Linked DNA regions of Tribolium castaneum. The protein of the gene in region 2 purifies or fractionates together with the protein of the main gene of each other region. This does not show direct contact. Links are inferred from orthologs where the notes say so. Each region holds a gene or a part of one and is shown on either strand. Other genes may lie near its edges. The genes, in order: UPAR/Ly6 domain-containing protein qvr and Sh.

Region 1 (4,419 bases), on a different chromosome or scaffold from region 2:
AAAATTAAATTAAATAAGGAATAAACGACATAAAACGACAGTACAATACGTCTTATTAATTTTTTCCCCCGAATCCAAACAACAAAAAAATGAAACATCGTAAACGGCGTTTGAAACCTCAAGGTCACACGTGTTATCATAGTTTTATCAAAAAGTTGGTTATTGAAATTGCTCGGCGTGTTCATTCAGTTAGTAAATCATTTGATAACCACCAAACTGTCAAGGTTGTGTTTTAGGTTATAAACCGGGGCTTCCCATAAACATGGGCGAGGTTGGTTTGATAATTTTACCATTTCTGTTCCCATTTTCGGCAATTATAGGACGAAATAAACATCGACATTTTGCGACTTCATGGTTACACGTCTGAGGGGGACAGTGATGACGATGATGGGGGAAAAACCGAACTCGACGATTTCTATTATTATCACAAGCCACAACCCATCGACATAGACCCAAGCAGAGACAAGATAATTAAAGTTGGAGTAACGAAAATATCGAAAAACCAATTGAGAAGATTGAGGAAAAAATTTGCTAATGATGGTGTGACCAATCAAAGTGAATTTGGGACTACTGAGACTGTTAATTCGACTGAAGGTGGCAGTACTGATTCACAACTATTGACCAAAAGTCAGAAAAAACGACTAAGAAAGAAGAAGAAAAAATTAACGACACAAAATGCAGAAAAAGTGCAAAAAAACCCTGATGATGGAGCGACGAAACGAGACGTCCCCAAAGGTTGTTTCCTTAGTATGTTAGAGTGTTCAACTTCTTGCCCTTACCTTATCTATTGTGATTCTTCCAACTCGAGAAAGTTTCTCTTGTTTAGGCAAATGTATCTTAATGGCGATATTCCCAATAATTTGAGAATAAAAAACCGAAAAAAAATGAGACAAATGAAACAATCAGTTTTAGATAATTAAAATTATTGATACAAACATTAATTGCAGTAAAAATAAAATTGATTGAAATTTATTAAATTTCAGATATGGCTCAATTTCAGAAGAAAGGGAGAAGTTCGGTTGAATTGCCTCTTTTGTGGCTTCAAAATTGTTGTGATTTGAGGAGTGTTACTGTAATTTTAATTGTCATTATCTTGCAAAAAGTGCCTTATCTTTGCTATTTCCTTTTTTTTTATTCCTTTATTTTCTTTGTGGTAACATATTGAGGGTTTTGTATTTTAAATAAATTTTGATAGTAAAATTCTGTTTTATTCATCACATTTCCGACGTGAAACAGCACTTGGCATCAAAATAATCTAAAAATACCCAAAAGGTAAAAAATCGTTTGATCAATTGTTGCAATTCTGGGGGAATTTCGCTTCAGACATGCGTACCTGAGTCGTCCTGCGCAGGCTTTTATTCGAAACTCGGTTTTCGCGATTTTTTCACTTGAAAAGTCCTGTTTTCACACAAATCCACTCGGCATCGCTTCGAGGACACGAAATGCGGTTTATTTTTAAGTGGTAAAGAATAGAGTCGGTGGAAAAACGCATAAATAAAGCTTGGGAGTTAAAGAGAGATAGATATGCGAGGTAGATCAATATAATTTGAGGAGCACGGCAGAGAAATGGACACGAACCGGGAACGAAATCAAAATAACCGAGTTATCGAAATTCGAATACGATAGTGATGAGAGTGTGGTGCTTTTAGGACTTTGAATTAGCGAAAATGTCTTTCAGGAAGACTAGAATCGAGTACGTCTTGGCAATTATAGGTAATGTTGCTTGGTTTTGATCGCTTAAGTGACAGGAATAGGACTAATCAGGGTAGTTTATTGCAGTTTTTTTTGTTAATTTTGCAAGTTGCCAGTGGAGCTGTGCTCGTGAGTAAACTTTTGGAAGGTGGTTGCAATAACGCTATTAATTTGGTGTTGGTGTTGTCAGGGTTTTTGAGATAAAGATTTCACAAATCCAATTAGTGATGCGCTAGGGACGGGTTAATTATGTTTGGTGTTTATTTTTATAAAAAATATTTAGAGAAAGTTTCATTTATTAATTTGTAAAAATAGACGCGTATTGAGGTTTATAACGTGCCAAATATTATTAATATAGGAAGATTAATCTCTCGGAAATTTTTATGTAAAAAACGCGAAATTAAAAATATCTGCTCGAAGCCGGATGTTGCATTTGATTTTCTGATGTGTTGGAAACAGGTTTCAGTTGATCTGAAAACTTGTCCTGAAATTTTACAAGGAAAAAAAACAATAATAAATTTTGAAACTTTACAACAATAACCCTATTCCTGTAGATTTTTGCCAATTTTTAAATTACTAACCACTTAATATTGTTTATGTTTTCAGTGATAGTATTGCTAGCAATAACAAGAGTTATTAATGCGGAATGTCAAAGTAAGTTTGTATTTTAACATTTTTTTTTGATGTTTGGTTTGAAAAAATGGTTTTCACACACAAAAATTGTAATTTCGTCGACTATTACAAGATTTTTGAAGTTACAAGCGTGTTAGTTTTGTAAAATAATTGCTTAAAAAAGTGAACTATGTAAAAAATCGCCAATAAATTAGACCCAAATTGGTGTAACATTTTTGCTTTTTTCGAATATTAATTTAAGCACGTTTTCGTTTAAGCACTGTTTTTTTGTATACTTAAAAATACTTAAAGTGGCTAAAAAACGACAAATTAGGTCAGAATAAATAGCATTTTACCATGTTGTACCTAATTTGGTCCGATTTATAAATGAAATTACTTCAAAAATAACCCAAAAATTAAGAAATTTTGACAAAAATTAATACCTTATTTAAGCCTTTACTCACCTTTCTGAACTGTATTTTTGAAAAATTTTGAAAAACTAACAAAAAAAACAGAAAATTACGTTGCGAATTACATTATTTTTGCATTTTCAAGAACAAAATTTCGTAAAAACTATTCGAAAAATCATGAAATTAAGTCAAAAACAATGTTATTTTTGCCTTTTTCAAACATTTAAACACATGTTTTTGAAATAAAAAATTAATTGTTTTGAAAAATCGGGCGTAAATTGAAGAAAAATAAACAAATTAGGTCAGAATAGAAAATAGTTTAGCTAGTTTCGCTTGATTTAGTTTGTGAATTTAGTGATTTTCGACTTATTTTTGACGTAATTGTGATCAGAAACACAATTACGTCAAGAATAAGGCAAAAATCATTAAATTTAGTCAAACATCGTATCAGTTTTACCGTTTTTAAAACATTTTTGAACTAAAATATTAGGCTTTTTTGAAGAATTTCGCTAAAACAAACCAAAAAAAAACAATTTAATAATAATTTCCAGTTAGTTTTTGAGTTATGAATTTTTTATTGAATAAAATTTTCCACTATAGAAATTGCCTATGTTAATTTTTTGCAAAAAATTTTAACATGTCAGATCTCGTTGACAGTTTTTATAACCAAAAAAAAAAAAAAACAAAAAAAACACAAAATTACGTTAATTTCAAGTGTTTTTAGAACCTCCAAAGCTAAAAATTTTGTTAAAACAAGGAAAATTTTCTAAATTAGGCTTATATGATGTGCTATTTAGTTACTTTTGCATTTTCAAACCTTCAAGCACGTTTTTGAAGTAAAAACTAAATTGTTTTTAAAACATTTTAGCTTGTTTTGCTTGATTAGTTCGTTTTTTGATCAAAATTACGTCGAAACCCGCAAAAATTCCATCAGTTTCACCATTTTTTAGACTTTATACACCTTTTTGAACTAAAATCTCAGGGTTTTTATAAAAAATGTCACTAAAACAAACCCAAAAATCGCGAAATTACTGGACAATAATTATTATGTTGGTACCTATGAGCACATTATTTCAGGTGTTTTACCTTTATTTTTCATTAAAATTATACAAAATTTCGTAAAAACTATTCGAAAAATCATGAAATTAAGTCAAAAACAATGTTATTTTTGCCTTTTTCAAACATTTAAACACATGTTTTTGAAATAAAAAATTAATTGTTTTGAAAAATTGGGCGTAAATTGAAGAAAAATAAAAAAATTAGGTCAGAATAGAAAATAGTTTAGCTAGTTTTGCTTGATTTAGTTTGTGAATTTAGTGATTTTCGACTTATTTTTGACGTAATTGTGATCAGAAACACAATTACGTCAAGAATAAGGCAAAAATCATTAAATTTAGTCAAACATCGTATCAGTTTTACCGTTTTAAAAACATTTTTGAACTAAAATATTAGGCTTTTTTGAAGAATTTCGCTAGAACAAACCAAAAAAAAAACAAAAAACAAAATTACGTTAATTTCCAGTTAGTTTTTGAGTTATGAATTTTTTATTGAATAAAATTTTTCTCTATAGAAATTGCCTATGTTAATTTTTTGCAAAAAATTTTAACATGTCAGATCTCGTTGACAGTTGGTATAACCAAAAAAAAAAAACACAAAATTACGTTAATTTCAAGTGTTTAGAACCTCCAAAGCTAAAAATTTTGTT
Region 2 (3,828 bases):
CACAAGTGTAAAAAAATAGAACTTCTTCGCCTGAAAATGATACAGTAAAGTGTCGAAACGTCGCGACGAATTTTATCAACCATTGCAAAAAAATAAAAATAAAGTAAAATAAAAAAGACTGATAACTTTTCAATAGAAATTATGCGTGTTTCTTGAAGTTTAAAATCGAAAGAGTCTATTTTGGTACCTATTTTCTAAATATCCTGAATTTATTTTATGGTATATGTCTTATGGCCTTTTAATATTTTTAATAAAATAATAAAAAAATAATTGGCGCGTTCAGCAGGATATGTAAGCTATTCCGTACCAGACAAATATGTAGCGTTAAATTAAACTCTTTTTTTTAATTTAAATATTTTTGTATTTTTTTTTCGCGAACGCCTTTTGGAATTCGCATCTGGTTTCATTGGTGGTTTCTTAGTGAATTGGGTTTGTGCACTTGGTGCGATTGAGTGGCCTATGAGACAAGCAACATCGAGCACACATCGAGCGTCACGACATCAAGGGTTTGATGGGGGCCCGGGCGGCGTTGGACGCGTCCTCGGAGCAAAGAATTTTCTCGTGGTCTCGAATCTCTTTGTGTGTTTAGCTACGGTGGAGGCAACTAAATCTGAATTAGGTGTGTACATCATACGTCATGTCGCCGTAGCCCACAGTCGTCATGGTGACCACTGCCCACCAGAACGCGTCTGGGATGGACTTGAAGAAGGAATTCTCGGAGCCCGCTTCAGCGAAGTAGACGGCGCTCGAGAAGAGCACGACACCTGCAAGGAGGAGGAGGGGTGAGTCGGGCTCTGTGCGCTACTGTACCTCATGTCGCCGTAGCCCACGGTGGTCATGGTCACCACGGCCCACCAGAACGCGTCCGGGATCGACTTGAAGAACGACTGCTCGGCGCCCGCCTCCGCGAAGTAGACGATGCTCGAGAAAAGGACCACGCCTGCAACAGACAGAAGGAGGAGGCCAGAGGAGGCCGGGAGGTCCGAGTCAGTTGCCGATGGACACCACCATCACCACCACATCACGCACAGCGGTGCCACCAACTAGTGCTGCACGGAAACGCAACTATTTCAAATTCATGCTAGGCCGGGAACAAGCTGCCCAAAACCAACATGACCGTACGACACACGTTTTTTAAAAACTGATATCTTCTGATGTAAAATTTTTAGCTGAATTAAAATCTTAAAAATATAGCAAATTTTGGTGTTTTTATCGTCACATCTTCCCTTTGTAATCAGTAATCACTAGCTCCAGTGCTCTCACGGTCAAGCGCCACGTCGTCCGACTACTCTTAATTTGCAGTTTATTTTTTCTGTTACAAACAGCCGAACGGCCAAAAACGGTGAATAATTGTCAAGTCAAAAGAAAAACAGTTTATTTACTAATTAAATCGCTTGAAATTGGTTAAAATTACACACTTTAGTTCTGTTCCTAACTTTTGAGTTTCTCTGTCATAAATAAATATTTTTTTGGAAATAGGTGACTACTCAAGAATGGGCTAAATCACTCAAAAATGCCTGGAAACAGGTAACAGATTTTCGATTTTTTCAAATCTATAATCATAAAGCATAAATTGTCCAACATAATTCCAAAGGTAGGTAGTGTCCTTTTTCATTTCGACGAAGTAATCCTGCTGTTGTCAGAGTTGTTAGAAAACATGTTTTTTTTAAATTAATCAAAAAATTATTTTTAATTTTATACCATTTTATTTGTTTAAAGCAGTGTTTTAAACCTAGTTTTTGTTTTAATAAAAAGGTGTTCAACTATAAAAATGGTTTATTTTTGTCAGAGAAATAGACTAGGAGTTAAGAAAGTATCAAAACTGTTAGTGTTTTTAAGGCATTAAATTCAGCCAGCAATAATTATATTAATTTCCATTTAATAGTAAGAAATATGTATTAACATTTTGTTTGTTTTTTATTGATATATGTTAATAAATAATAAACGTTTATATAAACAAAAATACATCGTGTTCTTCTTCTGATTTGTCCTTATTTGAGAACAAGTTTTTTAATTTTTTGTCAAATGCAAAAGTATATGAATTGTGATAAGAGGTTGGAATTTGTAACAATATTTTGAAAACAAAACAACATGTTTTAAACAAGGTTTAAGACCCGGTTTCTGCAAGCATATTTAAGCATTTAAAACATAGAAACCCTGGCTGTTGTTAATATTTTGCGACTTAACAACAACGATTTTATTTTTATGTCTGTGTGTGTTTTTGTGGAAATTGAAATATGTAAGTTATACATTAATTTCTTATTATTTTATAGAAAATATCAAAAAAATAAATTATGTAATGAAGAAAAAGTTATTAACAAAAATCGCTCAATGTTCACAGCATTCACCTACATTTGTCTGCTAAATAATGAAACACGAGTATGTGGTGAAGATGAATTTTTAAGTGATTTTGTGACAGATCATCTACAAAAAGCCAACACTTTAAACTTTGAACGCCGAATGCGCCAATTTTGTATCCTAGTACAGTTTATGTCATTTATGTAGGTTTTAATAAATATGTTTCCATATTTTGTGAATTCTTATTTATTTATTCGTGGTCCCATTTTTTTGCATTTAATGTTGTCCCAACGTACAAGAATTTTTTTTGTTATTTTCTGTTATAAGTAATTAAGTAACACTGAACATGCTCGTCATAGTTAATAGATTAATTAATTTCGGAAGATGTGAAAAATTTTTTTTATGAAAAAATGTCCCAAGAAAGAACACTCTCCCATTCCTTCTATCCTTCAGGTATGATCACTTTAGTGAACATGTGAAAAACGATTATGTATTATTAATATTTAAAAAAAATAATTTTACGATTATGCGATAATTGTCTTGGAATACAAGTTGAATTCTACATGTGACAAGTAAATCACTTTTTAATGAAAAAGCCCCCCGACTTCGTTCGTGTCTCAAAAACTTATCTAAACTATTAGCACCATTTCATCTCGCATCTTGAGAATTTTACTACACAATGTAATAAGTTACACAAAAACTGTAATTCTTTTAGTTTTCTTTTGTAAAAATTAACTGTAGCTTGTGTACTTAGAATTTATATTTACTGGAGAATCTATTGCAAAAAAAAGGTCTCTAGCTTTAACCTGAAGAAAAATATGACGAGTAAACATCAAAATATGTCTTACATATTCGAATTTAGCAAAAAATTTTACATAAAAAACAGTCAGTAAACGTGTACAATCGAAACCGGACAAACTTCTTATTAAATAAGCGTCTGTTTTTTGAGGTGCCTGCCGCTCGGCCATGCGTCACTTTTTTGAAAAAAGTTTTTCTTATGTGTGGCTATCGATTCTGAACAATCAGCAGATTTCAAATTCATTCAATACACAGAAGAAACAGATTATTTGTTTAGTGTAGAATCTATAGCGTTATTCGGTTCCGGGTAAATTTTTCATTTAGATCCGTGCAGCACTACCAGCAACCACATCCAAATGAGCGCCAATCTTTTTGACTATTTATTGCGAGCGGATAATTCGACATTTCATGGGCGTTAGCCCGACCCTAAATTAAGAACTTGGCTATGTTTATGATGGCGAGCATTTGGCGGATAATAAAGTCCACCAATAGATTTTGGCGGCGATAAATGATCTCAGTTTGAAAAAATCCTAACAGAAACATGGGCGCGTGGCCTTTGTTGCCAACAACAGTTCTGGGAAAAAGTCCATTCGAAATGTTAAAGAGTAGAACTGATTTCTTAATATCAACTACTTCGCCAAAAATATCAAAAAAATGAAAAAAAAAATACTGAATGTATTTTTTTATTCAATAAAAATTTAAGCTTAAACCACTCTTGTGACCCGAAAATCC

What was found.
Region 1: the proteins of Sh (region 2) and UPAR/Ly6 domain-containing protein qvr purify together in Drosophila melanogaster (affinity purification with western blotting, with the first as the bait; 3 studies listed by BioGRID). This does not show direct contact. The link is inferred for Tribolium castaneum from reciprocal best matches to the Drosophila melanogaster genes Sh and qvr.

What each region holds. Positions count from the first base shown.
Region 1 is NC_087396.1:21,876,120-21,880,538, forward strand, and holds the start of UPAR/Ly6 domain-containing protein qvr, read left to right. Parts: upstream 1-1,329; 5' UTR 1,330-1,667; coding exon 1,668-1,713; intron 1,714-1,779; coding exon of another isoform or gene 1,780-1,821; intron 1,822-2,298; coding exon 2,299-2,346; intron 2,347-4,419. Other genes in the region: uncharacterized protein LOC103313876, read left to right, coding at 263-271, 321-735, 984-1,165.
Region 2 is NC_087394.1:28,473,185-28,477,012, forward strand, and holds part of Sh (potassium voltage-gated channel protein Shaker), read right to left. Parts: intron 941-3,828; coding exon 811-940; intron 765-810; coding exon of another isoform or gene 628-764; intron 1-627.